Struthio camelus: one gene and its partners. The protein of the gene in region 1 interacts with the protein of each later gene in a pairwise test. Links are inferred from orthologs where the notes say so. Each region holds a gene or a part of one and is shown in the gene's direction. Other genes may lie near its edges.

What was found.
Region 2: the proteins of PDE6D (region 1) and RND1 interact in a two-hybrid assay, tested with the Homo sapiens proteins (2 studies listed by BioGRID). The link is inferred for Struthio camelus from reciprocal best matches to the Homo sapiens genes PDE6D and RND1.
Region 3: the proteins of PDE6D (region 1) and RAP1A interact in a two-hybrid assay, tested with the Homo sapiens proteins (2 studies listed by BioGRID). The link is inferred for Struthio camelus from reciprocal best matches to the Homo sapiens genes PDE6D and RAP1A.
Region 4: the proteins of PDE6D (region 1) and HRAS interact in a two-hybrid assay, tested with the Homo sapiens proteins (2 studies listed by BioGRID). The link is inferred for Struthio camelus from reciprocal best matches to the Homo sapiens genes PDE6D and HRAS.

What each region holds. Positions count from the first base shown.
Region 1 is NC_090950.1:21,896,457-21,904,413, reverse strand, and holds the start of PDE6D (retinal rod rhodopsin-sensitive cGMP 3',5'-cyclic phosphodiesterase subunit delta), read left to right. Parts: upstream 1-4,949; 5' UTR 4,950-4,963; coding exon 4,964-5,108; intron 5,109-7,957. Other genes in the region: COPS7B (COP9 signalosome complex subunit 7b), read right to left, coding at 1-33. UniProt on the Homo sapiens protein: Promotes the release of prenylated target proteins from cellular membranes. Modulates the activity of prenylated or palmitoylated Ras family members by regulating their subcellular location.
Region 2 is NC_090969.1:1,008,276-1,015,373, forward strand, and holds the start of RND1 (rho-related GTP-binding protein Rho6), read left to right. Parts: upstream 1-4,086; 5' UTR 4,087-4,132; coding exon 4,133-4,252; intron 4,253-4,335; coding exon 4,336-4,423; intron 4,424-6,041; coding exon 6,042-6,151; intron 6,152-6,278; coding exon 6,279-6,413; intron 6,414-6,515; coding exon 6,516-6,761; 3' UTR 6,762-7,098. Other genes in the region: CCDC65 (dynein regulatory complex subunit 2), read right to left, coding at 407-700, 869-1,021, 1,126-1,344, 1,424-1,621, 1,868-2,006, 2,171-2,340, 2,420-2,587, 2,688-2,825. UniProt on the Homo sapiens protein: Lacks intrinsic GTPase activity. Has a low affinity for GDP, and constitutively binds GTP. Controls rearrangements of the actin cytoskeleton. Induces the Rac-dependent neuritic process formation in part by disruption of the cortical actin filaments.
Region 3 is NC_090965.1:8,961,117-8,968,510, forward strand, and holds the start of RAP1A (ras-related protein Rap-1A), read left to right. Parts: upstream 1-4,382; 5' UTR 4,383-4,517; intron 4,518-4,611; 5' UTR 4,612-4,820; intron 4,821-5,229; exon of another isoform or gene 5,230-5,362; intron 5,363-5,497; exon of another isoform or gene 5,498-5,781; intron 5,782-6,255; exon of another isoform or gene 6,256-6,473; intron 6,474-6,534; exon of another isoform or gene 6,535-6,617; intron 6,618-7,394. UniProt on the Homo sapiens protein: Counteracts the mitogenic function of Ras, at least partly because it can interact with Ras GAPs and RAF in a competitive manner. Together with ITGB1BP1, regulates KRIT1 localization to microtubules and membranes.
Region 4 is NC_090946.1:15,871,036-15,878,661, reverse strand, and holds the start of HRAS (GTPase HRas), read left to right. Parts: upstream 1-4,614; 5' UTR 4,615-4,756; intron 4,757-4,876; exon of another isoform or gene 4,877-4,965; intron 4,966-5,254; coding exon of another isoform or gene 5,255-5,388; exon of another isoform or gene 5,389-5,723; intron 5,724-5,945; exon of another isoform or gene 5,946-6,455; intron 6,456-6,940; exon of another isoform or gene 6,941-7,006; coding exon of another isoform or gene 7,007-7,317; exon of another isoform or gene 7,318-7,626. Other genes in the region: LRRC56 (leucine-rich repeat-containing protein 56), read right to left, coding at 2,166-2,284, 5,255-5,388, 7,007-7,317. UniProt on the Homo sapiens protein: Involved in the activation of Ras protein signal transduction. Ras proteins bind GDP/GTP and possess intrinsic GTPase activity.

The sequences.
Region 1 (7,957 bases):
CCTCTGGGGAAGCAGAAAGCAGGCTGGAGGCATCTTCTTGTCTGCAATGACAGCTCAGAAACTGTGACACCTGCCAACTCCACGTGCTCCAGAGATAGGAAAAAAGGTGAAGTTTTCAGCACAAAGTTGGTACAAAGGGATGCTGAGACTTGGAACAACTGTCTTGCAAGTGGATCAGAAAGCTGATGTGCTAAAGGGTGTTATTTGTGTTAATGCAGCCAAAGGATGTTGAGAGGAGGGAGATCCCAGGGTTTCTGTCACTGCCTGAGTTATCGTGTCACATGTTTCACTGTTGCTCATACCCGGAGCAGTCACAAGACATCAACACTTCAGCCATTACCTCTTTTGTGACTTTTGGGAGCTCAAATGTGAGAGATGCAGAGACTGCCTCTACCTCACCTCAGAGACTCACCTCAAGGTGAATTTGAGAACTCTGGGATTTGATCAGAAAACTCAAAGGCCCCAACTCTAAATTCTGGAAAGTCTCCTGCCCCTGTGCTCATCTCCCCTCGAGGCTCCCCTACTAATTACATATAACAGAGATCTCACGACAACTCAACGTAAGCCCTACACAGCCAGAGAAACCTTTAATGCTGCAGGAGCTCCTAGCTGTGACATCCATTTTTTGGGTGGCTCTTTCCTCTCTCTGCAGCCTGAACAGAGGCGGGATTGAGCTCCTTATGTCTTCCATAATCCAGCAGGTCCTACTTCCACCTGACAGACTCTTCACGTATACCCGACCATTTGCTTTTTGCCTTCTTCACCTCTGCTTTTTTCCTTGCTCACCTTTTATGCCTACCAGTCTTGTCTCCTCAGTGAGCTTTATTCCCCATTCCTTAGATAGGGCGTGTAATTGCACGTTATCTCAAAGCCAGGAAGGACTCTTAATAAAAGATAGATATATATTAGCATAGTGTGCCCCTGGCTTGCTGCCCAGATTCAAAATGATCTGTTCATACACTTTTAAACTGATGGTGTGGAACTGAACACGGATCACATACATCAGGGAAATAAATGCTACCTATTTTTATTATTAAGATCACTTACTGGTTATACTGGAAGTGGCCTTGTCTTTAATGCATTAATTGTGACCTTTATGAATGTTCATGTTCTCCTCATTTGTACAGTGGCTGATTTTGAGGCAAGCAGAGCCATGAAAATATTGATGGCACAGTGATTATTAGCTGGTACTGTTCTGAGGTACTTTGAGGAGGACCAGATTACAACTGCTGCGTTTATTTTCCTCAGGGCTTATTAATGCTTTGTATTAGCTGTGCTTGGACTGTTAACGGAGGAGTTAATTTGTCGTGCTCATATTAAAGAATAGCCTGGCTCCTAGGATGCGCTGATTAGCCAGAGACTTTCCCCTAGAATCTACTTTATTACACAAAGGCCAAATTTCTGTAGTACAAAGAAGGCCACTTTTGTTCCAGAGAAACATAACTATTCATTTCAAACTTTCCCCATAATGCTGGTCCTTTTAGCTCCAGCCTTGGTACATGCAGAAGAGTAGTTACTCTGCATATAAGAACAGAGGCAGCGAGAACAGCAACATAATGCGAACAGTGAAGCCTGCAAAACTACAAACTTAATCCTTCACTTGAGCTCAATTTAACTTCTGTCAAACAATTTGAGGGACGAACTTGCTGCAAGATCTACCCGTCTTACGAAGAGAAACGCTAACAGAGCTCGATTAGCTCGGGCGTAGTCCCAGCAGTATTTGCACTATTGCCAGCGTACGTCTCCCAGGCAAGGCCCGAACTGTGAGGAGCCGCATCGCGTGAACGCTAACACGAATGGCTGTGCAGGTGTGCGACCCTCTGCCAAAACACGAGGCTGAGGCCTCTTCCAGTACAGAAACAGAAACAGGACACAGTGTTCTCCAAGCTGAGGCCCTGGCAGCCCCTAGGTGAAAGGGGTATACTTGGATCGAGTTTCTTCTCAAGCAGGACAACTTCTCTCTCTTCCAAAGCTCTTTGTCTGGACCTCACTCTTCCTCAAAAAGCCTACGGACTGAGGAACGCTCAGTCCCTGAGTTTTCAAACACACAGCAGCCTCTGCAGCCTAACCGGACGTTCAACAAAATCAGAGACGGCTTTCTGTTAGTGTTGAGCCCCATCCCTTCCAGCCCCACTCCCTGCTGCTTTGTCCTTAGCTATGGGACAGGTCACGGCTTCCCTAGCAGCCGGACCCGCGTTCCCACAGGGATTTTCCAGCCCTGGGACGGTTGCTCTCGCCTTCGAGCCCACCATCCCTCTTTGGGCGAAGGGCAGACGCCCCCGCCCGCCTCACCGCCCGCTGCGGCCTGCCCCCAGCGCATGCCCCTCCTGCCCCTCCGCCGGCGCGACGGAGCGGGGCGCCGCTGGGCGAGCAGGCCCCTGAGCCCCGCCTGCGAGCCCGGGACACGGGCCGGCCCCGCCGGCAGGGGCGCGGCCCGCCGCCGCCAGAGGGCGCCCCGCCCGCCGCCGCCGCCGTTTGGCGCCCCCCGGCGGCCGCCGCTAGCAGCTGCGGAGCGGAGCCGGCTGGAAAAGGTTTGTCCTGCGGCGACTCCCGTCCCCCGGCGACGTCAGGCTTGGCAGGGGCGTACGCCTTAACGACCGCTGCGCAGCCGCCCTTGAATGGTGGGAGGCGGGGCGGAGAGGCGGAGGCAAAGCGGGCACGCCGTCTGATTGGTCATCCGCGCCGTCCTTCCCCTCCAGTAGGCGGGGCGCCGGCGCGCCGCTCCCTGCTCATTGGCGGCGGCTGGGAGCCGGGGGGGTGGGGCGGCGCCAGGCCGCTGGGGTTGGTTGCGCTGGCCAGTGGCGGGTGCGAGGGAGTGCGGGGGGGGAGGGGTGGGGGGGGTCCTGAGGCGCCGCTGTCACCGCCGCCTTCCCGCCCAGGCCCGCGGAGCCAGGCGAGCCCGGCGCAGCCCCGTCCGCCCGCGGCGCGGCGCGGCAGGACCATGTCGGCCACGGACGAGCGGGCCAAGGAGATCCTCAGGGGCTTCAAGCTGTATCCGCCCGACGGGGGCCGCGGGGCGGGCGGGCGGGCCCAATCTGCCCCGGCCGGGATTGGGGGGGGGGGGGGGAGGGAGGGTGGCCAGTGCGGGGATCGCCGTCTCCGAGGGCGGGGGCGAGCGGTTGTCATGGAGACCGCCACCACCTCCCCCCCCCGCCGGCTAGGCTGTTCCCAGTGTCGTCCTCCCCTCCCTCGCGGCCCCCCCCCCCCCCGGGAGCGGGGAAGGGCGGGGGGGTCCCCTCCTCCCGGGAGCAGGCTACGCCCAATGGGGAGGGCTGGGGGCACCCTCAGCCCCACCGCGGGGTCCTGGCTGGGCTCCCCCCCCCTCTTCGGGACCGGTCTGGCGGGGGGATCCCGGTCAGGAGGCCGGAGCTGTCCACCGGGCGGCTGCTGACGGGCGGCGCCGGAGCAGCGGGAGCCCCCCGAGCTCGCAGAGGGCAGGTGAGGAGCCGGGAGCCCGGCGCGCTCCGTCCCGGGAGGATCCGCTCCCTCCCCTTCGGCCGTCCTCCTGGCGCGCCCCTCGAGAGCCGCAGCTGCTTAGGCACCTCTGCGCCGAAGGAAATATCTGCTCTCCAAGTGCAGCAGCAGCAGCAAAGTGTCTCGGTCCTTTTCTTGCTGTGAGGTACTGGCACGTGTTTTGTTGGTTGTAAGGTGTCTTTTGTTGCTGATGCTAACATATTATAGGTGCTAATGCCTTTCTGTGCAATTCATTCTGCAGCTTTAGCACTGTAGCTCTCAAAAAGCTTCTCTGTTTTACATCTGAGTGTATTATGTGAATACAGATACAATCCTGAGCAAATGAGACAGATCTGAGCTAGGAAGAAAAATGAGACCCTGTACACACCCTTCCAACCCACAATTTCAGTACAGGAAGGCTCAATCCAAAGGCCCATATGCAAACCAAGAGTGGGAGAAATATGCCCTACTTATAAAATGAAGTAACTTCATTTTATTATAGCAGGTTCTAAGTTTAGAAGACAGATGCAAGCTTCCCAGCTTGACCTTAAGACACAGGGTGAAATCACTTTTTTTTTTTTAAATACTGAAAAAGGATAGAAGTTCCCTCTTGATCTAATACTGTTATTTCTGAACAGCTTTTTGTCAGTAATATGTTTGCGATCTGTATGCCATCTGTAGCAGGATCCGAGATGCTCTAGGTTGGATTTAGCCAAATAGCTACTATTGAACTATAAGCAGATGCTTCTCAACTTTTGAATCACTGTCCCCTCCCCCAACCTTTTAGTAGTGCAGCTGGTTGCTTTGCTTCTAAAGTAACAATGTTGACAATTCTTTTTATTCATGAAGTTGTAATACCTAGTCAAAAATAGTTGAACAGCCTTATGTACAGGCAATTAGCAAAAGCATAAGCTTCTGACAAGACCAGGCTAACATGTTGGTAGAAACGAAAAGTGTTTGGAAAGTTAACCTTAGGGAACAAACTTTTAACTACTTTTCATGTGCATTTGTATATGGTCTTCACTGGAGAGAAAAATTTATGAGGACATTTGTCCAGCTTTGGATGAAATAACTCATTTAGTAGTTTGTTGGCTTAAATACAGAATGTTTTTTTCACCTTGAGAGGTGTGTAACAGAAGGTAAACTTCCGTTATCTCAAGCAGCTATAGTGTAGGCAAAAACATTTAGTAGAAGTACTCTGCACTTCCAGGTTGAAGAACCTCAAGTTCACTCTTCCCTTACATGGTCACTGAAATCGATAGTATTACCTGTGACAACCAAATGACAGGACATTTTTAGGCAGTAAAAGACTTGACCATGCCTCTCTGAGAACATGCTAGAGTATTATGATAGCTCAGCTTACTGTCTGCCATATAGTCCAGACAGCATAAAACCTTTAAGTCCAAGGAGCAAGAAAGCTTTTTCTCAAAAAAAATTTATAATTGGAACTTTGCATAAGTAAAAACAGTCAAAAAACAGTCTCAGTGTGTATTTAGTAAACCAGAAGTAAATGCGGCTGGACAGACATTCCTCATTTGTAAGAGAAAAAGCCTTGAGACGCTGCACCGTCCACACAGGAAACTACTCATGCCCAGATCTGACCGTGCTCACTGTAAGACAGCCATCAGCTCAGACTTCTATTTCCTTTTCTATGGGTGAGTATATGTTCTAAAGAACATTACATTTTAAATAAATGTAATATTTTTCTGCCCAGTCTACTGCTATATCTGCTATTTTAATTTCCTTAATAGAACAGAAGAGATGAACACATCCTGAAAAGCTGTACATTTATCTTTGGAGTACTTAAACTTCCTCCTCCTGTCCCAGGAAGGAGGAGTTAACTCCAACTTAAGCAAACCCTGCAAACTTGGCACCTGAAGCTGTGCTTGCTTTAGCACAAGAAACTAGCACAGTGGTACCGAGGGTATGGACATACTAGATGCCTTGTGTAGTTAGATCAATTGATAGGGTAGGTGGTATCATTGAGGAAGTAGATCTCTGAATTGCTTGCTTACTTTAACACAGAACAAGCACTTCACCTGGAAATTCAGCTCACATTGAGTTGTTAAAGTTTGCCTCAAGCAAGTTCAGTTTGTAGTTCTGGTTCCCCAGAAGAGGCTGAATACAAACTTTCCAACTGATTGAGACACACTGCTGTGGAAATTAGTTCGTAGCCCTGATCCACTCTCTGGCTTCAGTACACAGATATTCTTTCCTTCCTCTATGACACTAGTGCAGAAACATGTTGTGGCTAGTGTCCTCAAATTCAAACCAGGAACATTTACTCCCTTTTCTCAGATTTTGCTATTTCCTGAAAAGATGAAAACTAGAAGTATTTGAAGTTTGCAGGCCAATGAGGATATTATACTTGTCCTAAGAATTTTTAGGGCACCAGTTAGCACGCTGTCTGTTCAATTTGTAAGTTTAAAAGATGAAAAGCCACTAGTCAGCAACTTTTATAGCTTGTCATTTCTTGAAGACTGCATTTGTTAACAAAACTTACAGCACGTTCATGAATTTCCCGTTTTGAAGGCACTCTTCTGAGCAGCAGTGCTTATACTTGGGGGGAAAAAAACCATTAATATCTACAGGTAGCCTTGTGTTATGTGAACGCAAACTAGTTGGTTGACTATAGGCACTGTCAGTTCACATGGTAACTTAAAGCATCCTCCTCTGGAATATTGGGTGAGTTTTCATTTCTGCAAGTATTTAATGCACAATTGGTCTGCAGTCTCAAATGCAGGAGGTTTGACTATGCTTGTTTCCAGAAGATGAGACAGTTACTCTGTCAAACTAAAGACTAGAATGTTATTTGGCCCACGCTTATCTTTTCAACATATTCTTCAGGTTTCATTCTGCCATTTTATCTTTACAATTACTGTGTACCATTAAATGTATGTTTAACATCCTTTTTCATAGAGGAATAGCACTGAAAGTGTTTCCCCATAACAGTCAAAACCTGGCATTGAAGAGTTACTTTTCAATGGCTTTTTTTTTGTTTTAACTCCCTTGGTAATTTGTGGGTTGCCTTTATAGCTTTGTTCAAATATAAAGTAGCAGAAAACTGTTTATTGTGCTGTGTTCACTAGTATAAGGACATTGTAGGCAACTGTTCTATTTAACCCAGTTTGCCAGCATTTGGAAAGCATATGTGCTTTGCTTTCTTAAAGTATCCATGGTGTAGATTAGAAATATCTGACCATGGGCTGCAACAGCCCATTCACATCCAGCTCTTGAGGGACCACAGTTCTGGTTATGTTCTTCCAGTAATGTTTCTGCCAGAACAATAAGAAAACCCTGAACAAGCCAAGAGCTAAAAAGCTCCCCAAGTTTCATAGTATAGTTAAGGTGCTAAGCCTAACCTTCCAAGACATGAGTAAGCATATCCAGTTTTCAGTTCTAAATCTTAAAATTCCAAGTATCAGCTATTGTACTGGCTTCTGTACAGAAAAGCCTCATCAGAACTGGACCTCAGAGTTAGTTGCTGTATAGACATTTATTAGTTCAGAGTAAAGTTGTGTGCGAATTTCTATTTGAGGCTATACAGCCTATCCTACTGTACTCATTCAGAAGTCTCCTAAAAACAAATTGATATGCTGAACTTAAGCACAAAGAGACAGCATTCAGGTGAGAATTGTGATGGAGTTGTGAAACTAATATTTGTCGTCAGTATAAGCCCATAGCTGTAGCTCATACACTCTGCAGCATTTGTAGGCAGAGCTTTTCATACATGTCAAAGGGTTTCCTACTTCTGAAAAATCCCTGAAGTTGCCTGTATGACATCCTCCTGTCTCCCAGTGCTTCCTCCAATTCTCTTGCCATTATTTCTGTCTAGGAAGTGAATCTAGTACAATAACCTGTTAAGCTCTGTCCATCCTCCCAAGAGCTGTAGTAAGGGTTAGCTATATCAGAAACCATGAACAGCTTCCTTGAACCTTATATTGCTTTGCAAACAATGAGAGTTCTCCTTCCACAGCTTCTACCCTGCCTCTGCCATATACACACAAAAAAAAACTAGCCAATGGAAGTCTTGCCTATCAGTTCCTAGAACAGTCCCCAAAGTTTTGGGCTGCTTCTTGTAGCATTCAGTTGTCAAATCCAAAAGTTCTGTCAAGTTGAGTCTCCAGCCTATTTTTATTAGGTCAGTAGATCTTTAACTGCTTAAGTAAAAATGCTCATTTATTGCCTTATTTGCAAGGCAAGTTGGCAGCTTTAATTGCCCTTTAAAACACTTTGTTCTGAGGTTTTCTGTGCACTTGTCCTCAGATCTTGGTTTAAGACTTCCTGCAGTTAAATAATGATGAATCACTGGTTTCATTGGTTAAAAGGAGGCACTAGCCAGCTAATAGAGGGATCAGGGCTCCTTAGAAGGTGGGAAATGTACTCTGTAGAGAGCCAAAGCTGTGTTAACTTAACTAGCTTGCACCAATACAATTCAAGAAAAACCTCTAGAAAACAGCAAGTGAGTTTGTGCTCCCCACTCATGTTTTTCATTTCTGAAAAA
Region 2 (7,098 bases), on another chromosome or scaffold:
GTTGGCTGCGTGGGGGACGGGGTGCAAGCTCCTGTCCGGGCAAAGGCCTGGTAGGAAACCGAGAGCAGAGGGAAGGGGGCCCTGGGCTGCTCTTCTCCCTCGCTGGATGCTGTCGGCTCCCACCAAAGGCCTGGAGCACCCTGTCTGGTCCTGGCAGGGGGGGTTTAGCATGGCCAAGGGTTTGAAGAGTCAGACCTAGACTGAGCCTGCCCAACGGAGCTGTGTGTGACCAGAAATAAGACCCATAGCACATCCAGGGCACAGTCAAGCTCTTTAATGGCAGCTCCAGGCAGGTTCCCGTGCTCTCTCTGAGCATCAGGCTCAGCTGGGTGCCCCAGGCCGCGAGACGATCGCAGCTCTGGCTGGGGCTGGGGCCGACCCGGCCACGCGTCCTCCCCCAGGAAGCTCACAGGGTGCGTGACACCACGTGTGCTGCCTCGATGACGTTGTGCACGGGCCCCCCGGCGCGGGGCAAGGCCCTGGGGCTGCAGCTCCTGTGCTGGAGGGTGAGGAGTGGGTTGGGCTTGCTGAGCACCTCCTCACTCACGGAGATCCCCTCCAGGTACTGCTTGAGCAGCTCCCGCAGGCGCTGGTTCCTGTGGCTCAGAGCTGCCTTCTCCTGCACCAGCGCCAGCTCCTCCAGCTTTGCCTTGTTGAACCGCTGCCAGAAGCGCTCCAGCCCCACGTAGTCCTGCATGGCCTGCGCAGGAGGGAGGGATGAGGAGGCCGGAGGGCCCAAACCCACCCCTGCACACAGGCACGTGCGCACGAGCCAGGCCAGCACTGGCTGTCCCCAAGGCTCTCCCCTGTCCCTCCCTCCCACATGGCAGTGCCTAGCCAGCTTGGGACCCCAGCGCTGCGTCCTCACCTGGGCCAGAGGCTCTGCAGGTGTCTCCTTGAGGACTTGCTCCGCGTCCTGCTGCTCCCCCTCAGCCAGCGAGGAAGGGTAGAACGGCAGCACCTTCTCCTCCTCCGTCTCCAGCTTACGGCACATCTCACCCAGTCGCAGGACGCGCTCTGCCTGCAGGGGACACCGGAGAGGGCAGGTAGGGAGGGGACGGGTGGGTGGCCCGGGATAGCCCGGTCCTGCCCCAGGGCAGGCAGCACGCAGCCTGCAGGCCTCACCTTCTCCACGACGTGCATCAGCACCTTCAGGGCAGCGCTGCTCTGTGTGGTGAGCTTGACCAGGCTGCTGCGGGCCTTGGCCCTGGCCTGGTTCATCTCCTTCTTGAGCTCCTGGAGCTGCCTGAGGATGACCTCCTTCTCCTCCCGCACGCACCGGTTCTGCTCCTCGCTCTCCTGGAGGTGAGCCGCGATCCTGCCCTTTATGGCCGCGATGGAGTCCTGGGGGCACATGAAGCGTTAGCGACAGGATGGGGGGTCTCGGGGCTGCGCCTGTGCCATGAGTTTCTGCAGCCACAACCTGGAGTTTCTGCAGCTTCTTCGTCTGCATCTCTATCTCCTTGGAGCTCTTCTTGTCCTTCTGCTTGAGCACTTCAAAGGCAATCTTCCGGTCCTCTGTGGCCTCTGTGTAGCTGTGCAGGACCTGCTGGAACTGCTTCCAGAGGGCCTCCACCTTGTTGCTCAGGTGCAAGCGGCTGTACTGCTTCTCTTCCAGTTGCTGGGGGGGGAGACATTGGAGGGGGTGTCCCACCAGCCCTTCCCCTCCTCCCCAGGCTGTGACCACCATGCTCCAAGCGAAGCAGGTCCCTCTTGCCTCCACTGCGGCTGAGGCTCCACCAGCCCTCACTGTGCTCTGCTCATGCCCCGAAACCTAAAGTGCTCCTCACCAGAGTCAGCTGCTAAAGAGTGTGCTAAAGAGCCTGGCCAGTTCCTCATCGAGACCTGCCCTGTCCCCCACCCTTGCCTTGTTCTTGATGTCATCCCAGGCGCTCTGGAAATTCAGCGTGGCCTCGTAGTTGTTCTCAACGAAGTTCTGCTCCACGGCCAGCATCACGTCCTGTAGGTAGCAGCATTCTTGCTTGTGCTGCTCCAGGATTGCTCTCCTGGGGGAAATGTCGGGGAGCTGCGGAGCACAGGGCCAGGGCAGGCCAGGGGGTCCCCTCTCCAGCGTTACGAAAGGGCTCCCCACCAGGGACACAGCGTCCCGGCAGGACAGCCAGCGGGTGCCACCACTGCACCCAGATCCCTCTCTCCCTCTCCTCGATACCTCTCCGTCTCAAACTCCTCCTTGAGAGCCTCCAGCTCCGTGTTATAATCCTCCTCCAGGTAGCGCAGGCGGCAGCGCTGGAGCTGCAGCAGGCGGTCAATGTTGTGCAGGTGGCTGGAGAGGGCCTGGGCGTGCTGCGCCTCTGCCTCAAACAGGTCTCTGGCCAGGGACTGCAGGAGGGAGGGAGGGAGGGTCAGGCAGGGGGCTCTGCGCAGCCCTGCCCTCCCACCCCGGCAGCCCCGCGCTCACTTTGATGACGCTGTCCTTGCAGTCCATCACCCGCGCGAAGGTCTGGCTCAGGATCTCGACATCTGTGCGCAGCTCCTTGGCCTTGGTCACCCGCAGCACTGCGAGCCACTGCGTGTTGATCTTGTCGAGGTTCAAGGCGCTGCTGTGCTCCTCCTTGGCCAGCTTGTCCTGTGTGGGGGGCCGTGGGGTCAAGGGGCAGTGGGGACGTGTCCCACGGGGGACAGAGCCGGCCGGCACGCAGGGAAACGCATCACAGGCCCCCAGGCACCTTCAGGAACTGGTTGAGCATCTCCCCCTTCTTCTTGGCCTCCTCCTCCTCGGCCAGGGCTTGGCGCTGCAGCAGCAGGAGCCGGTTCTCCTCCGTCGTGCGGGCGGCCGCAGCCCGCCGGCGCCGCTTCTTCGGCATGGCGGCGGGGCTGTGGGGCAAAGTGTGTGTGGGGGCAACCGGGGTCCCGGTCACCTCCACACCAGGGTGCCCCCAGGCCCCCTCCCTCTGCTCCCAGCCCCCCATCCCCTTCCCTGTGGGGTGCCCCCCATCTCCCACAGTGCTCCCTCTTGGGTGTCCCCCCTGCCCCACTCACCCCTCCCCCATCAGGTGTCCCCCCCTCTTTCTTTGGGGTGTCCCCTTTCTTCCATGGGGTGTCCCCCCCCGGGGTGTCCCCTCTGCCCCACTCACCCCCTCCCCCATGGAGTGTCCTCCCTCCGTCTTTGGGTGTCCCCTCTCCTCCATGAGGTGTCTCCCCCCGGGGGTGTCCCCCCTGCCCCACTCACCCCTTCCCCCATGGGGTGGTCCCCCCCCTCCTTCGGGGTGTCCCCCTTCCCCGGGGGTGTCCCCCCTGCCCCACTCACCCCCTCCCCCATGAGGTGTCCCCCCCCGGGGTGTCCCCCCTGCCCCACTCACCCCTTCCCCCATGGGGTGTCTCCCCCCCCTCCTTCGGGGTGTCCCCCCTCCCCGGGGGTGCCCCCCTGCCCCACTCACCCCCTCCCCCATGAGGTGTCCCCCCCCGGGGTGTCCCCCCTGCCCCACTCACCCCTTCCCCCATGGGGTGTCTCCCCCCCCCTCCTTCGGGGTGTCCCCCCTCCCCGGGGGTGCCCCCCTGCCCCCCTCCCCGGGGGTGTCCCCCCGCTCCCCTGCCCCATCTCCCGCCCCCCGATTCCCCCCCCGGTACCTCTCACGTCTCCCCCCCCCCCCAACCCCGGGCCAAGCAGCACCCGGCCCGGCGGCTCGCGTCCCACCGGTCACCTAGCAACGGCCACTTCCGGCTCGGGGCGGAAGCGAGCGGGCCGCACTTCCGGCCGCCGAGAGGCCCCCCCGCAGGCAGAGAGGCGCCCCCTGGCCCGGAGGGCTCCCGCCGCTGCCCGGAAACCGGCCCCGCCGCCGCCCCGAAACCGTCCCGCCGCTGCTGCCCCTGCTCCCGCAGCCCCGTCCCGGCCTGTCCGGCCCCGTCCTGCCCCGAAACCGGCCCCGCTCCGCCGCTACCTGCCCCAGGTGCGCCCCCTCCCCGGGCAGCGACGGCGAGGGAGGCGGGGCGGCCCCCCCCTCGCCCCTTCGCCATTGGCCGCGGCGCCGAGCGCCCCCGCCGCGATTGGTGGGCGGGCGCCGCCGTGGGCGGGGCGTGGCGGCGGCGGCGCTATATAAGGGCGCTGCGGCGCGGGCGCGCAGGGCTGGCGGGTGGGCGCCGGGCGGGGGAGGGTTGCGCTCGGGCCGCCGCCATGAGGGAGCGGAGGCCGCCGCCGCCCGCCCCGGCCCGCTGCAAGCTGGTGCTGGTGGGCGACGTGCAGTGCGGCAAGACGGCCATGCTCCAGGTGCTGGCCAAGGACTGCTATCCCGAGGTGAGGCGCGCCGCGGCCGCCGCCGGTAGCGGGGCTCGGGCCGGCGGCGGCACCGGGCGCTGACGCTGTCGGTGCCGTTGCAGACGTACGTGCCCACCGTGTTTGAGAACTACACGGCGTGCCTGGCCAGCGAGGAGCAGCGCGTGGAGCTGAGCCTCTGGGACACCTCCGGTACCGGGGGGAGCATGCATGGGGAATGAGGGGGGATGCCCCTCCGGTACCGGGGGGAGCATGCATGGGGAATGAGGGGGGATGCCCCTCCGGTACCGGGGGGAGCATGCATGGGGAATGAGGGGGGATGCCCCTCCGGTACCGGGGGGAGCATGCATGGGGAATGAGGGGGGATGCCCCTCCGGTACCGGGGGGAGCATGCATGGGGAATGAGGGGGGATGCCCCTCCGGTACCGGGGGGAGCATGCATGGGGAATGAGGGGGGATGCCCCTCCGGTACCGGGGGGAGCATGCATGGGGAATGAGGGGGGATGCCCCTCCGGTACCGGGGGGAGCATGCATGGGGAATGAGGGGGGATGCCCCTCCGGTACCGGGGGGAGCATGCATGGGGAATGAGGGGGGATGCCCCTCCGGTACCGGGGTGGGGGGGTTGCACCTCCGGTACTGGGAAGGAATGCATGGGAAAGGGGGGTGCCTGTCTGGTACTGGGGGAAGTGGGGACATTCCCGGGGAGGAGTTGGGGGGGAGAATGCCCTTCCGGTACCGAGAGGTGGGGGCATGCAGCGGGGGGGGTGCGGCATGCTCTGGGGGAGCTGCGCGCTCAGTATTGCGGGAGGCTGGTATCGGGGACCTGTGGGGGAGCATGGTGGAGCCCTGCAATGGGGCACTGCAGTGGTGGGGGGGGTGTGATGCCTGGGCTATGGGGGGGCTGCAGCACGGGGGGAGCCTGCAGTGGGGCACGGTGGGGGGCTCTGACCTGGTTTGAGGGGGCTGCAGTGGGGGTGCATAGCCGGGGCTGGCTCAGGGTGGGGGCCTGGATCCTTGAGGCTGGGGAGTGGGGGGGGCCTGGTCCCCTGGGTGCAGGAGGGGACAGGGCTCTGTGGGGTGGGGGTGATGCATTGGGGGCAGGTATGGGCTCAGCACCCCTTTTTTGGGCAGGAGCCCAGCACCAGTGCAAGCCCCTCTGTGTTCCTAGCCCCCCTTAGGGCTGCATGGGGGCCTCTGCAAATGGAGGAGTCCTGCCATTGCCCCATCCTGGGGGGGGGGGGGGGGGGGGCTGGGGCAGCCTTGCCCCGCTGCTGCAGTGTCCCCCCCATCGGCAGGGGGTCCCCGCCACCTGCGGTCCCCATGTTGCCATGGCGATGTGCTGGCGCAGCCTCTTTGCTATTCCGCGCACGGAGCGTCTGGGCTGCAAAACCCCTCGGAGGACACGCTGGGGTCGGGGGGGGCAGCATGGAGGGGGTGCCCTGCCTCACCCCCATGCCTGCAGGGGGGGCTCCCTCGCAGTGTCCCTCTGCGGTGCTGGTGATGGGGCATGCCCCATGGGGGTGGCCTGGTGCCCTGCCACCCCCTCACCGGGTGCCCCGGCTGGTCCCTGACACCCCTGTTGCTGGCAGGGCTCCCTTCTTGTGGGGGAGGGTTTGCGGTTATATAAACTCCCCAGGAACCATTTCCTGCTGCCTCATTAGTGAAGATGGGTGTGTTAACGAGGCAAGGCAGTGTTTTAGGGTGCTCTGGAGCTGCTCCCCCTCCTTTGCAAGCTCCCTGCTGCCTGGGGGGCAGCAGCCCCTCGGCCATTGCGGGGTGCAGCGTGGTGACTCCCCCCCCTTCTCCCAGGCTCTCCCTACTATGACAACGTGCGTCCCCTCTGCTACAGCGATTCGGATGCCGTGCTGCTCTGCTTCGACATCAGCCGCCCTGAGACCCTGGACAGCGCATCCAAGAAGGTGAGGGGTGCTCAGCCCCATCCCTCCGTGCACGGTCGTGGGGACCATTTTCCCAGGAAAGCCCCTGCATTGGGATCGGGTTTGGGGACCCCAGGGTGCCCAGCTGACTGTGGGTTTGTGTGTGCAGTGGAAGACGGAGATCCTGGACTACTGCCCCAACACCCGGGTGCTGCTCATCGGCTGCAAGACGGACCTGCGGACGGACCTGAGCACCCTCATGGAGCTCTCCCATCAGAAGCAGGCGCCCATCTCCTACGAGCAGGTGCTGGGGATGGGCTGGGACCCAAAATCAGGGTGCTGAGGGGGCCAGTTTGGGGGCAGCAAGTCAGTTACTGCCTCAGTCTGACGTGGCTTTGGGTCACAGGGCTGCGCTGCGGCCAAGCAGCTGGGAGCAGAGAGCTACCTGGAGTGCTCGGCCTTCACGTCGGAGAAGAGCGTGCACAGCATCTTCCGGACCGTGTCCGGCATCTGCCTCAGCAGACCCAGCCCGCAGCTGCCCAAGAGCCCCGCGCGCAGCCTCTCCAAGCGGCTCCTGCACCTGCCCAGCCGCTCCGAGCTCATCTCCTCCGCCTTCAAGAAGGAGAAGGCAAAAAGCTGCTCCGTCATGTGAAGGGGGGAGACCAGGACAGCATGGCCCTGGCCCCCCGAGGCCCCCGCACCGGGGCAGTGGGGGCTGCGGCGTGGTGCCCCGCGGGGAGGATGCCGGCGGCCCCCCACATCACACCGCTTCCCCCCAGACAGCGCGCACGTCCTGGCCCCTGGGGCTGGGGGGCAGCCCCTGCTGTGATGCCATGGGGTGGGGGGACCTGGGGGACCCCCGGCGCAGAGGGGACCTTGCTCAGTGGCTGCTCCTGAGCCCCCGGAGCTGGCAGGACTCATCCACGGACTCATCCTTTTTCTTTGAATGCCCAGTTGGTGTCTGGCTCTGCCCCATCCCTCATCTGCTG
Region 3 (7,394 bases), on another chromosome or scaffold:
CCCAATTCAGTACTGTCTTTCTGCATAGTTGGACACCTCCAACACCATTTACTGCTGGTTAGATCCTCCCAGAACAGGTAACATCTCCCGTATGTTTCACAAACGGTTCCTGGCGCAAGGGAAGCAAGTTCACTGAGTCTTCTATTTTGTGATCCCAGTTTCTGAAAAAAATTCTCTCTCCCACCAAAAAATAAATATAGCACACTGCTTGGAAGAAAATCTCTGCCATGAATAGACTGGCTGTGCAGTGGGGAGATGCATGGATAACATTGCTTGAAAGACTCTCAAATATAGCTCTGCAACCAATACCTGTGATTAAAAAGTGAGAGAGAGGTACACAAGTTAACTTCTCGGCTCATTTTAACTCACTTGGGGACAATTCCTTGCCAGCTGCCTGATCTCATAGCAAATGCCAGGCTGTTACACTTTTGCACAAGTAAATTCTTGAATTGCCTGTAGAAAAATCAGCCTGCTATGTTGCCATTAGCCTAAAGAATGGGAACTCCTATGTATGATAATAAGCAGTTGCCTGACATACCTGAGAAGCAGGAATTGTGTGTGTGTGGTTTTTTTTTTTTAAATGCTTCCTTCCCCAGCAAGGTTCAGGCTTTTATGATATTTATAAAAACCACTGAAACAGAAACAAGTATCAGTCTCTACCTTTCTCCCTACTCTGTGCTATCACAAACACCAGACAGACACCAGACACTTCTGGTGTGCTTTCAATTTAGGACAGCATTCAGGAAGCTGCCTAAGAAGTCTCTATCTCCCTTTCAGAGAGATCAGTAAAAGTCACAGAGGAAGAAGGCCCAGGATCTTTTGTACTTCTGATAAAGGGAATCCCATTCCTGCCTCCTCATCTGTTCTGTAATCTCTGTGCTCATAGGTGAAGACAGTCTTTGTTGAGGCTGAAACCTGGAAGTACTTCAGCATCTGCAGCAACCACTTGGGATTTAGCCTTTCCTGTGTTTTCAGGAAACTTCAATGATATCAGCTGAGTCAGGAGAAGACAGTGGCAGAGAGAAGTGCTTGCTCTTCTGGGCTCTAACTCTGACCTCCAGAGCTAGCCCAGGTCTTACCTTAGGAAGCCAGTTAGACCTTAAACAGAGCATTGCCTTGGGTCCAGCCTTCCCTCCCCAATTTCCACACCTTCCAGCGTATCTGGATAATTATCCAGTAGCTTCACCCAGCCTGACAGCAGGCACAGAAAAAATGGGTTTGCGGCAACCTGAGGATGAATGATTTTTTTTCAGCAGAGGAGCCTGTTTGGTCCTGCCTATCTGCTCTGATAATAGGCTCACAGCTTTGGAGCTCACCTGCCTCCACAGAATTTGTCGAACGCTGGTATGTTTTAAGCTGTCCTTCGTGGTCTGAACCCTGGCAGGGACGCTGCATCCTCTAGAGCATTGCATCATGATGTTGCACGGCCTGGTGACGTGAGACAAAGCGCATGCTCAGTGACCCCTGTATCCACGTTATCAGTGAAAGAAATTACTGTCGTTACAGTGCCAGTAGTTGTTGGCATGCACTGTTAATATTACAATTGTCATTATTCCTGATGATACATTGTAATCTAAACTGTAAAGAAAATATTATGTTTCCACTTCAAAAGCTCATGTTGAGCTTTTGTAATGAATATTTTTCTGATTCTTTCATGACTATCCTTTCTTCATTATCACACAGTGTTTGGAAAGGACAAATTCCTGTTTTGTGCGGTTTACAAAGTTCAGTCAATCAGAACATGATCCTTATGAAGTCAGCACCTTTGCATTTAATAACAGCAATGTATTATGAGTCTGCACAGTGTCAAATACACTTGCATTTAAACGTACTGTTGATGTGTTTTACTGAGCTGACTTCTGTTCTCTAGTCTTGTGATTCTATCAGCTAGGAATCCAGGCTCATTATGAGATTGCACATTGTTTCTGGATTTCATTAAATGAGCAAATGGGTATTAGCTAGCTATTTGCATCAGCTGAACTTGTGATAATTTATCCAATTGGGCAATTGTTATTTTGGAAAAAAGTGTCCTGAGGGATTATGACTCATTTTCATCTGTCTATATGAACCTCGGTATAACCCCTAGAACTCAGCAGCACATCCAGGCAAAGAATGTCAATCCTATTGCAGTTGCTGGGAATAACCATGTTTTCTACCCAGTCTTTCACTGCGGCCACATAACACAAAAAGTGAAGCACTGGTATAATTTAATGATATCAATGGATTTAGAGCAGGGACTTCAGAAAAGATATGTTATGCATCAACATTTTTTTTAAAAGAGTAGAAAGGTCAAGATAATTTGCAATTTTTTTATAAAACTGCAATGTTAAGGATCTTTTTGTGCTCAATATATAAAGAGTTGTACCCTGTAGATGACAGGATATAGAGGGCTTAATTCTTTGCTTTTTTTCCTTGTGGTGTTGCTGAGGCTGTGTGGAGTAGAAATCCACTGTTTTGGGATGTTAGCACTTCTTACCCACTTTAAGCAGACGTAAGCGATGACATCAGTAGTAATGTAGAAACATACAGATCCTGGAGAATCTCCTTTCTGTTTCACTAGTTCAAGTCTAGTTTAAGCTATTCCTGACACTTGGCAAGAGGTGGCCAGTTACCAGACCTGGTGGTCAGTGATATCTCCTGAAATGATAGTATTTTTTCTTGTTTAGAAAACACACTGAAGGAGAGGCAAGGTGTGGAAAGTGTAGATGCAAGACTTAATAACACTGAGTTGACAGTTTCAATTTCTTTGCTAAAGAGCAAGCACCATTACACAGGAGAAGTGCAGTAACATAGCACTGTGAATCAGGCACATTCATAGCACTAACTATACATGAATTCATAGCATATAGAATTAGGCCCCGTCTATATAAGTCTGTCTATGGGAGCCGTATCTGTTCTGTTAATGGAAAAAGGTGGCATGCAGGGCTATAAGAAATGAAGATCCAGATCTATTCCCTGCAGAAACTGGTAGGAAAATTCCCACTGACTGCAGTTGAACTTGGATCTTTCTTCATCCTTTGCCTTCCTTTTTAATGCATTACTTCATAGCCAAGGTTCACATTCATCCAGATCTAATTTCATGTACGTGCAAAGTCTGATTAAGTGATAAATGTTTTCAGCTTGCATCTAAATCTGTAGAAAACTGGAGGAGGGGCGGGGGGAATCAACTGTCCTAGAACAGGCATTAAGTAGGTCCTTTATTTTGCTGAATCAGGCGCTGAGTGTGTCTGGATGCTGTAGATGCATTGATATTTGAGACAAAGTTTTATTAAACCTTTAGTTTTAAAGGAAACCTGCAAGCAAAATGTACTCTTCTGATAAAGCCTGGCAGAATGCTTATATACCTTCAAGTATATTAAGCCCCTTAAGGATGTAAGCAGGATCTTCTCATGCAACTCCTATCCACAGGAGTGAATTTTTATTGACTTGCAGCTTTCACAACTATTGACTTACAGTTTCAAAACTGATTTTTTTTTGAATCAGTTACTACTGATTTTTTTTGTCTTTGCATGTTTTCTGGATACAGCCTCTTAATTTTAACAATATACAGCCAGTCATTTGCTGCCTAAGTTTAGAGTCAACAATAAAACTGCAATTCTGAAGCAACCAAAGATGTTCAGCAATCAGCTTTAGGTATCCTTAAAGGCATGTGATCCATCCACATAAAATGCCTCCCTGCAAAAGGAGGGATTTTGAACAATGCTACTGAGGTTGACAAGTCTGAGTTCTGCCAAACCTAATGGAGAAAGCAAATGTGGAAATCCCTCCACTGAGACTAACCTGCCTCCAGCTATACAAATTAAGAAATAGTGATTTACTTGCTTTCTTCCAGCATGGTGGTCCCCAGGGAAAGAAATACCCTGCTAGGACCTGAGCCATAAAGAACTGGGATTTACAGATCAATATCAGCATCCATGATTTATACCTGGAAGCAAAATTCTTCTGCACTGTAGATCTCTCCTGCACTCACAAGCACAGCGGGAGTGCTATTTTCTCTGATTAGAGTAGAGGATGAGAGCTGGGATTCTTAGTTGTACTCATCTCTTGGCCACTGACTTGCTAGGCGTTTTGGATAAGTCATTTAATCTGTCTCTGTTTCCCCATCTGTGAAGGAAATAATATTTCTTATTAATACAAATAATACTTAGCTTTTTCCCCTTTGGATGAAAGGCAATGTGAATGCAAAAAATGTTTTATACTCAAGCTGCCAGCAAGTCTGAACAAGAGCAACGTAATGAAGAGAGTCTTTGGGAAGGAGCACAGCAAATTCTCCTGTTTTAGCCTCTTGCAGCTGCTGCAGGAGCTTTGCCGTTACCTCTCGCAACAGCTCGGAGTCCTTTGTCCCCCGCCTAACCTTGAGCTCGTCCGGAGGCGGTGGCTGCAGCCCTCGTTGTGTCCCCGGGTTACGCAGTGGGCAGACGCCGTGCTTGCGGACGGATGGAGTATCCCTCTGCGTTTTAAGCCATACTCACCGAGCACCATGCGTTCAAATCACGGAAACGACCGCAGCTCTTATGGCGCGTTTACATGATTTTTTTTTCTTTTTTTTTAATTAGCACAAACTTCTGTTTTGTAGAAATTTAAGTGCTGATGTTGGCTTTTCTTGACTAGGTGGTTGACAGCCGGGTTGTTCACGCTAGAGCCAGGGCAGGAGTCCCCCCGATCGCAGGCGAGGAGACGCCGCTCGGTCGGCCCCGACGCTGCACCAACGGCTGCCGTCGCCCCCAAACGCGGAGTGACACAAGGACAACGCGGAGACGCGCGGTTTCCTCTTTCCTCCCTTCGTCTTCGGTTCTCCTCGGCTGCAGGTCTCCTGTTAGGTATATTTTTACTTTGATCCTATGGGGTTGTTAAGGCTTTATTTATCAGTTTGTTTTTTAAAAATAAGTACGTAGCTAATAAATGCCGCGTCTCAAGGTGCGTTTTGGCGACTGAAAACACGACGAAAAGGGGGGAAGCTCCGTCCCGGGGGGGGGGGGGGGTCTCCCGCCAGGCACCAGCGGCCCGGCTCCCTCCCCGTGCGGACGGGACGCGCCGCTGTGCCCCGATGAAGGGCAAGAAACGCTCCCGGCCGCGTTACCGGCCTCGGCCGCCTACCGGGAGCGCCGCCAGCCCGCCGAGCCGCGCGGCAGCTCCGGCCGCCGCCGCCGCGTTACCTCAGCGCGGCTCCGGCCGCCGCTGCTGCGGGGGGGGGGGGGGGGGGCGGGGGGCGGTGTCATGGCGGCGCCCCGTCACGGGCGGCCCCGCCCCGCCCGGGCCCCGCCGGCTCCTCGCTAGGCCGCTGCCGCTGAGGGCGGAGCGGGCGCGCTGCCCCCGCCGCGCGCAGCAGCCCCGAGCGCCGAGGCGGAGCGGAGCGGCCCGGGTGAGCGGGGCGGCAGCGGGGGCTGCGGCTGGCGGCAGGGCCGGCGCCGGGCTGTCACGGCGGGCCGGGCCGGGCTGACATCCATCTTGTGGCGGGGCGGCGGCGGCGGGGGGGGGGGGGCGCGGGGCGGCGGGCGTCGCCGCGGGGGCAGTGAGAGGCGGCCTGGCCGGGGAGTCGCCCCGGCGGCCGCTCCGCTCGGGAAGCAGCCCAAACCGCGGTGTTTTGCGCCCAGTCCGCTGTGCCCCCCCCCCCCCCCCCCCCGGGGAGCCGAGGGGACGCCGAGGGCGGCGTGAGGGAAGCCCGAGAGCGGCGCTCGGGGCGAGGCCGCCGCGGCCGGGCTCCGCGCTGCGTTTCGGGAGCCTTCTCGCTGCTCGGCCCTCGCCGTCCCCACGCGTGAGGCAAAGCCGGGGCGGAGGCAGGTCCGGAAGGGCCCGTTTTGGGGGGGGGGCACCGCGGTTTAAGTTTTGGCAAGGGGCTTTTGGGACACGGGCCGCCGGCAGCGGCGAGGAGCAGGTCGTCGCGGCCTCCCAGACCGCTTCCAGCTCGGAAACGGCTTCTTGTTTCTGTTTTTCTGTCCAGGGGATGTTTTTCTGTGTAGACACCGTCTTTGCTGGCGTTATTTTAACTGCCGGAGCGGTGTTTTGGGTTGGAAGGCTGCTCTGCCGCCTTGTCAGCCGGCGGGTTGGGATTTTGGAGGCGGCCAGAAGTTGGTGCTGGCTGACAGAGCTGAGGAAGGGACTTTGGGGGGGGGGGTTTGCTTTGGTCACAACTTGGAAAGAGCTGCCCACAAAAAGGACAAATCATGAAAACTCTGTGTCCCCCCCCCCCCCCCAATAACTCGCTAAGGGAGACGATATTTCCTGGAATAGTTGCTTTTTCCATTTGCAGAGGCCCGTCGCCTGCGGAGGGTTATGATACCCCGACGCCTTTTCTGTTGCGGTTGCTTTTTTTTGGTTTGGCGTGCGTAGCAGTAGCATGCAAAGCGAAAAGGGGCACCGCATCCTTTGAACGGTTAAACCGAGGAAACACGCTGTTAACTGAGAGTCGCAGTCCTTACTGCGAAGCTCTTCACGGTTTTGATGAGGAGTTGTTGTTCTTTCTTAATGAAACGGTATGTCGTTAATTCTCACCGAAAGCTATTTAATGTGGAATTCCTGAAACCTCTAGGCAGTAATGAGTCGAGCCCTCGTGAAGTTGAAAATGCCGCATTGCTACTCAAGGTCTGAACCTTTCGTAAGAAGCTAGCAGAAGTGAGGTAATTTAGAGGGAAGTTTGGCGTGGAGCACCCTTGCCTTTGTGATATCTGCAACGTTTTTAATTTTGAGAAGTAGTGTAGTTCACCATGGCTGAAGTAGGAAAAACTTTCTGATTATTCTGACATCATTATCGTGTTGCTATAGTGACTTCATTACGCTGGGAATGCCGTGTTCATATCCTGTTGCTATGGAAAAGATCAGTGTTATAAATAAAAATAGTTAAGGTTCTCCTACCACAGTTGTGGTAGGAGAAAATGCCATCAATTTATTGACGCGATTGCCTGAAGACTGACAACATATCTCAACAAAAATTTTCAGTGCTAAATTATAAGCTAGGGAGTTACCGTTTCTGATTCTCAGCAGCTTGTCACTTCATTCTCTCTGTTGCATTGGATAGCAGAAGTCGTGAAATCCTAGCTTTAGAAGTCAAAATGAGAACATGTATGTAGTTCTTTAAGGTGGAGGTGACCGGAAGTGAATTACAGTGCTCCCATATTCTGATTCTAAAAATAATCTATTTTCATGCGTAGTATTTTCTACTGATCATGCACCAGGACAAGAGGAATATTTGTGTTCAGTTAAACTAAGATCATCCACAGAAAAGTGAGTTACACATCTTAAAAGCAGGTATTTCCTATGTCCGTTACAAAGTTAGTAACTATGTACAGTGCAAAAAAGAAAAAAAAACTTTGATGGCATTTAGTAGGCCCAAATGGTATTAGGAGACCAAGAGTTATAATTCTGAAGTTTCAAATGAAATAAAAGCAGTATATTTA
Region 4 (7,626 bases), on another chromosome or scaffold:
AGAATCCACTGTAGTCAATAGGAATCCTTCCTATTTCTAACACTAGTGGTGCTTGGGTCAGGCACCTGGCAAGGCGCTGCCCGAATTCTTTGTTTCTGTCAAAAAGGAAATACATGACAGGAGGGATCCCGTCCGGGATCAGATAACTCTCCAAACCAGTCACTTTGCTATGCCTACCCAGAATGTTCTGGGATGTTTTCATTTGGTTTAGTTTAAAGGGGCTTTTGAGTACTGTATTTAGTAGAATTTAATCCAATTTCAATGCCAGTATTTTGGAGATTAGAAACAAAGTGGCTCTATGCTCTGGTTGGGTCATCTGCAGCAACGTGGCGTTTTGATGGAGATGATATGAGGAAGGTTTTGTCAAATGATTCAGGGTTAATTAATTCAGGGTTTTATCCTGTTAATTGACTAGTACAGGAAATATCTCTAGTTCCGTTCAGTGTCTTTTGCTGATGATGTCCTAAAATACTGGACTGGTCTTACTTTTCCTCCCCCCCCACCCCCCTCCTTTCCATGTGGTCTCTCAATTGGACCGCTGCTTCCAAGCCTGAGGTACCTCTGAGAAACCCGCCCTGCGGGATGACCCTGCTTGCAGAATTTCACGTTTGTGATGTCGCTTGTGGCCATGTCTTTTTTGGTGCAATCTGCAGGAAGGATTAGCTCATAGACTTTAGGAAGGCTCTCCAGCAGACTGGGTTAAATTACAGTGTTAAATGGTTCTTGCTTGTATTTTTCTCTTTTAAATCAATGACTTTCCTTTATCTAGGGCTTTCCGTGTGCTGCAGAAGACTCAGATTTTCCCCACAGTGTCTTTATAGTCAGTCATTTACAGTATAGCAATTCATTGTCAGGAGTAAACTATAGCCCTGCATCTCCATATAGATTTATCAGTTACATTGAAATCCTCTCTCCAAGGCTGCTTTCCAAGTAGTGCTATTGCTGGGTCTTGTGATCTAGCAATATTTTCTCTACAGCCTCACCAGGAAGTTGGAAAAGGACTGTCCACTAGTCTCAATAGTTTTATCTGTAAATTCAGCTAAGCCCCTAGGCTACTCGGAGGGCTGGCTACCGTTTCGCAAGCTTGACCACCTTACTACTTTACCAGCAGCCTAAACTTGAACTGGGAGGGAATGTTTTTTAAATAAAGAGGAGGAGCATACACTTCATTCCATCACCCAATTGGAGCAGTGCTACTTGTAGCTCATATCAATAGCCTAGGGATTAAGAAACTTTAATTTCTTTCTTTCACTTTTCAAAGGTATTCCCCAGAAAGCAACCCATCCAGCTTAGGCACAGAACAAACACTTCAGGTAGCTCCTATCCCCCCACAAGATTTACAAACGTGCCTACCTTAAGCACAGGAGAGGTCCATTGGCTTCTCCGACTACTCACATACATAACAGTTTTCTAAATCATCCTCCCTCAGCTAAAACTCCATTTTCATCTCCTCCCACAGTGACAGCTCTTAAGGTTTCCCCTCTCCGTCCTTAACCAGTTCCCTTTGTCAGGTCTCAGCTCTCTCCATAAATAAGTTGTACATCAACGGGCCTGCCCTTCCCAGAAGCATCCTTAGGATGGGTTTGAAGAAGGAGCCTTCGAGCCTACTCCATCCTCTGCCCAAGCTAACTCCAAAATGCTCCCAGATCTGCAGAAGACACCTTTCCCTTTTAGAAAAAAAAAAAGTGAAAAGAACCCAAAACAGAGGCTTTTGGAGACTGTGAGCCAAATTCATTTCAGTAGAAACAGGTTTATCCCTTACTGGCATCTGTAGAGTTGCATCAGCTTAGTGCGGAAATGGATTTGGCCTTGCATTTCTGAAAATCCAGTCCTGTTCCAATTCTTCTGACTATTTCCTTCTTTCCTCCTGACTGCACTTCGGTTTTGATCCAAGTATCAGAGAGGCTGGCAAGGCTGCTAACTTGCACTACAAACTTCTTCTGACAAGTTCTGCTACCTAGATGATGCACAGTCCACCAGTGAACAAAAAGGATAAGGTCTCAGCTTTTTTCCTTGCTATAGCAACCAAGCACCTTGCGATGATCTTTTTCTTTCCCCCCTTTCATAAGCTGGTTGCCATGGCAAGTTACTGGTGCTACATTGTTACATACAAAAAGGAAACAATTTGCATTCTCTGCAAAACTCAAAAAACTTTCAAACTTTACCTCATATCCATTCGCTTTCTGCCATGATATTACTGACCCTCTAAGCTCTGGACAGAGATGGGCAAGAGAAACATGCCAGAATGGCAGAAGTGCTTGCAGGATTACCGAGTCTGGTGTTTCTGCAGGAGAAATAAATAAACAAATAAACAAATAAATCATAAAGAGTTTGGTATGGCAGGAAAGCAAAGATCACCCCAGAATCTCTGCTGCTCTCAATATGCTCCCAGAGACAATATTTAGAAGAGCATACAGATACGGTCTCCCTTCCAAACACTCCAAGAAAGTTTCAGTTACACAGAAGAAACAAAAAATCCACAAAAATGGACTAGCTGAGTGTAGGGAGAACTCAAAACCATGGAAAGAAGCAGTCTGCAAAATTACACAAAGTTAGGTGTAATCGCCCATACCTCAAAGGAACAGAAGACACAAGCAGACACTCCAAAACAACAACAACAAAAAAGGCAACTAACAGCACTACCCTCCCCTGGGTGTCTGCTGAGAATTGATAGACCCTTCGGGGTGGGGTGAGGCCAACGGAGCAGGCAGAGATGACAAATTGGGCTTGTTCTGCATCACAAATTGTGTGTGGAACCGGCCCAGAGGACAGGCAGCAGCGCTGAAGGGCTGGCCGGGAGAAGAGACAGATGGCAGCCCAAGGCTGGCCAGGAACGTACATCCTTATGTCACCGTGACTGGTCTCATTTACGCTGGCATAAATTCAGCTTATCTGAGTTAATTACACCAGTGTTTCTCTTGGTGCAAAATGGCAGGCTTGAGAGGAAAATCTGGATGTATTCAAACCCCTTGTATATTTAAAAAATTACTGTTATTTACTTTGCTGGTGATATTGATGGCAGCAAGAAGAAATATTCACGGGGGGGGGGTGGGGGGGCGGCACGGCGGAATAGGCAAAATAGCTCAGCTTGGCTGTCACCAGGGTGTTTCTACCAGAAATAACTCTAAGAAAAGATTATCCTTTAAAAAAACTTTTGGGATAGCCTTGATCTACAGCCGAATAGGAAGATCCAGTGCTAAATGAGCTCTTGGCACAAGTTTGTGCATCACACGGTGGAAAGCTGAGCTCACCTGTTGTCTATGACTCCCTTCTTGCCGAGGTTAAAGGGGAATAGCAACGCTAAGCAACTATTTTTGGGGGTCAGAGCGCTTGCAAGACTCGGCGACATACCTTCCCAGGACTCGATTTGGAGTACTGTTACAAAAAGCCCTACTGACATTAGATGGGCTAAGCACGGCCGTGAGTTATGGGCTCCGGTTTGCAGGCTGATGACAGTCAGGAAAACCTGCAGGCATCAGGATGACAGAGCAAGCCTCAGCAGCTCTCTAACCCCACAGCAAGTTCCGTTTTGGCACTTTTACCGTGGAAGTCAGGACCCCCTGAGATTCTCCCCATTTCCTCTTCATTGCTCTAAGTGTCAGCAGACCCAATTTACGACCAGCCTTCCCTTCCTCCCGTCAAGCAAGGCTTGCAACAGTTAGTGTCACGGCAGGGTTTCCTCGAGAGCTGCATGTTTCTCTTTGCCTGCTTTGACGTTTGCCATAGGGCAACGAACCGCACTGGCCGCTGGAAGAGTTTGGTGATGGTCCAGTCGGAGACACCACAGGAGGAGTTACCAGCGGTTTGCGGTGGTGGCATTTGTACTGCTGTTACAGCGGCATTGCATGTCCTGTGCTTGAATAAGAGGGCTCTGCCTTCCAGAGGCCTCACATAGGCCAGGACGTTTTACTAGCGTTAAATTCAAGTTTGGAGAAAGGAAGGGTCCGGCCAGGCAGGATGACTTTTTGCAAACGAAACAGACCATATCCTCAGCAAGCATGAATCAGCCCAGCTTTGCCGAAAGCAATGGAGCTATGCTGCTTTGCAACAACTGAGGATCTCATCCCAATGTTTTGCTTTTTATTAAAAAAAAAAAAGAGAGAGAGAGAGAGCGAGAGAGACATTTTTAAGCTATATTACTCTGCCCTCACAAGTTTGTGTCATCATCCCTATGTGATAGCGTGGTCATGACTCACCAATAGATGATTATGCCTCTGTCTTGCAGCAGACTGCAAACAAAAAACAGTCCTCAGGTATCTTATGTCCTGCTACGATCTGGCACCAAAGAACAAGCAAGAGGCAGTTTCAGTCCCACCTTCTGTTTTCTTGGTACTCGTAGGTCAGGGCGAAGCAGGAAACTAAGGTTTGCCCATACCTGTGTCTGCTACCTACCACCTATTTGTTTTTTGCTCGCTGATCAGCTCTTCTGGGCCACCTAGGCATTGAAAAAACGTACTGAGCCCGCTTCCAGGGTGCTTCAAAAAGCAGGATTTCTGTATGCTCCAGTACCCTGCCTGCTCACCAGAAACGGATAAGACAAGACGAGACAGGTAGTGCAGAGAGGCGGTGCGCTGCGCGTACGTGCGTGTGCCTGCGAAGAAACCCATCACCTTTGTGTTTGCTGCTGCTGCTCCCGCTGTCGGCGCGCTCAGGAGAGATGCTGCGCTTCTGCCAGCCGCGGTCCCTGCTTTTGCGGAGAGCCGAGGGGTTGCTCAGGATCAGGAGAGCGTTTTAGAAGCGAGCGAGCGTTTCCGAGGTAGGTTAAAAGCCTCGGCCCGTGGCTTCGGACGCGCCTTGAACGAAACCCGCGCCACCCTCGGCGGGCGTCCGTCCGTCCGTCCGTCCTTGCAACTTGCTTCATCTACGCAGCGCTCCAGCTACGAGTTCTGCAGGGCGCCAGCTTCCTTTTCGCTACCCGTGTCAAACCGGGGTGCCTAGATCAACCGTTTCTAACCCCGTTTTCAGGTTCTCAGCTACCTTTTTTGTTGTTGTTGTTGTTGTTGTTTTTTTAAGGGAAATACCATAGGGTGGTGGCGCGCTGGAAGGGTACGTTAGAGCAAACGCCCCTTTCCCCGCGACCAGGGGGACACGCTCTGCTGTCCTGCCTCAAAGCTCCCTCGCGCCCGCTCCTAGATGACCGGCCGGGGGGGGGGGGGGGGGTCTACGCCACCCAATATCCCCTTTTCTAGAGTAACCGCAGTGCCTCGCGGTAGTAAAACGCCCGAGAGCGGAGGCGCGCTGGGCCCCGGCGTACCTGAATCGGCAGAAGCAGCTCGGGTCGGCGGAGGGTTTTGCGAGCCCGGATTTAGCTCCTGCTCCGAGTTGGGGGGGGGGGACCCGGAGAGGCCCCGACGACAGGGCCGCTCGCCCCGGGGGGCCGAGGTCTGCCTGTCAACCAGGATGAGTGGGTTCAGGTGGTGCCTTGTTTCGGCTACGGAGCCTCATCGCGCCCCAGCTGCCTTTGCTTTCGCGGGCTGGCTTAAACCGCCTGCAGATAATTCGGATTTTTTTTTTGTTTGGTTGGTTGTTTTTCTGGCTGTTTCCCGTGAGGCCAGGCAAGAACCGCCTGAATCCCGCGGGATTCAGCCCCTACAGCTTCACCCACCGGACAACGCAGACACGACAAACCCCCCTTTACCCTTCCCAACCCGCCCCCCCCCCCAAAACCCCCCCACCCCAGCCGTTTGCCGGACAGCAGCGCAAAGGCAGCTCCCTCCAGCTCTACCCACGGGGGAGCCGCCGGCCTCGCAGCTCCCCTAACCCCCCCCCCCGCCCTTTTTTGGGACGACACCGACGCCCCCGGGAGGCCCGGCAGCAGCCGCCGCCCCACCAGACCGAGGGGCGGGGTCGGGGGAGGGGGGCGGGCCCCGGCGCGTGATTGACGGGCGGCTCAGCCCACGGGGAAGGGCGGCGGCGGCGGGCGCCCGCCTATCAGAGGCGGCCGTGTGGGCGGGGCGAGGCGCGGCGCCTGAGCCTGGGCGTGTGCGGCGGGCGGGCGGGCGGCCGGCGGGGCGCGCTCCCGCGGCCGCTCCCGCTGCTCGCTCTGCCCCCCCCCCCTCCCCAAACCCCCGCCCCGGCTCGCACATTGTCCGGGCGGCGGTAGCGGCGGCGGCGGCGGCGGCAAAGCGCCCCGGCGCCCGGTGCCAATGCGGGGCGGGCGCGGCCACGCCGGGGGCGCCTCCACCACCGCGGTGGAAACTTCACCTCGCCGCCGGGCCGACGCACGGCTGAGCGGGGCGGGAGCCCCCGGCGGCTGAGGGAGGGGAAGGGGGGGGGGCGGCGCGGTTTTTAGCCTGAGAGGAGGGGTTTTTGTTTTTTTTTTGTTTGTTTGTTTTTATTTTTTATTTTGCAAGAAAAAGCATACTATTCTCCTTTAAACTTCCGCCTCTCCTCCTCCTCCCCCCCCTCCCGCCCCTTCCAGGAGGTGCCTCCCGCCTGGCGGGGCGTGCGAGCCGGTGAGTGACCCGCCGCCGCCGGTTGGGGGGGGGGGGGGAACGGGCGCAGCCGTTAAGGGAGGGGGCGCGAGGGCCGCAGCCGTTGGGAGGGGGGAGGGGCGGCGGCCGTTAAAGAGGAGGGTGGGGCGCGGCCACCTGTTAGCGGGGCGGCGGCCCCCCCCCCCCAGTCGCGCGCACGCCGGGAAGTTTGTCGTGTCCCCCCACCCCCGTCAGTGGGGCTGGCCCCCCCCCCGTTGTGGTTTTTGGGGAGGGGGTAAGAGGGCCCCGCCGCGGCTCGGGGGACACGGAGGAGCGGCGCAGATCCACCTGCTCGCCCGGCCGCGCCATGACTCTGCTGTCTGCGCGGCCGCGGGGGGGGGGGGGGGGGGGGGGGGCAAGCCGCCTTGCTCTGCATCCCCCCCCCAAAGCCACACTCCCTGCACGCTGTGGCTCTCCTCAGCCCCTGCATCCCTCCACCTCTGTGATGTCTTCCCCCCCCCCCCCCAGAAAAGGAAAGAAAAAACCCCCACAACTCGCCAGCCTCAGCAGCGCTTGTCATCCCCGACACACACCAGCACAAGGCATCACCCAGCTCAGGGTGGGGGTGAGGCGCAGCACGCAGGTGCAGGTAGGTGCCACCCAGCCAGGCCCCGTGTGGGAGCTCTGCGGAGCCGTCAGCACCTCCCTTGCTGCTGAGGGAGGTTTGCCGCCGGGGCTCTGCGGCGCGCTGAGGCTGCCTCCACCCTGCCTGCTGCACAAGGGCATTGGGAGGGGCCCCGGCCGTGCTACCTCTTCGCCCCAAGCAGGCGCAGGGGTCTTCTGGCAGCTCCCTCGGCCCATATGGATCCTGGGCAGGGATATGTTTTTTAATTGCCGTGAGCATTCGGGAAGCAACGGGGCTTGCCTGTAGACAAAAGGAAGCTGATTAGGAATCAGAGAGGACTGTCAAACTCTGGAGTGACTGGAGAAATGCTTAGAACAGCTAGAAGCACAAGTACTATATAGCACATATTAGGAATAGCTTGACTGTTTAAATGACCTAATGTTTTTTTTTCCCTTGAGCCTGCTCACCATGAAAGTTACTCCTAGGGAGATCTTTAAGATACAAGCCCCTACTAAGGGTTCATCATCCCAGTTTGGTGTACATGGGTAAATTTTACAGGTTCAAGTAAGAACCAGTTTTAAACAGAGA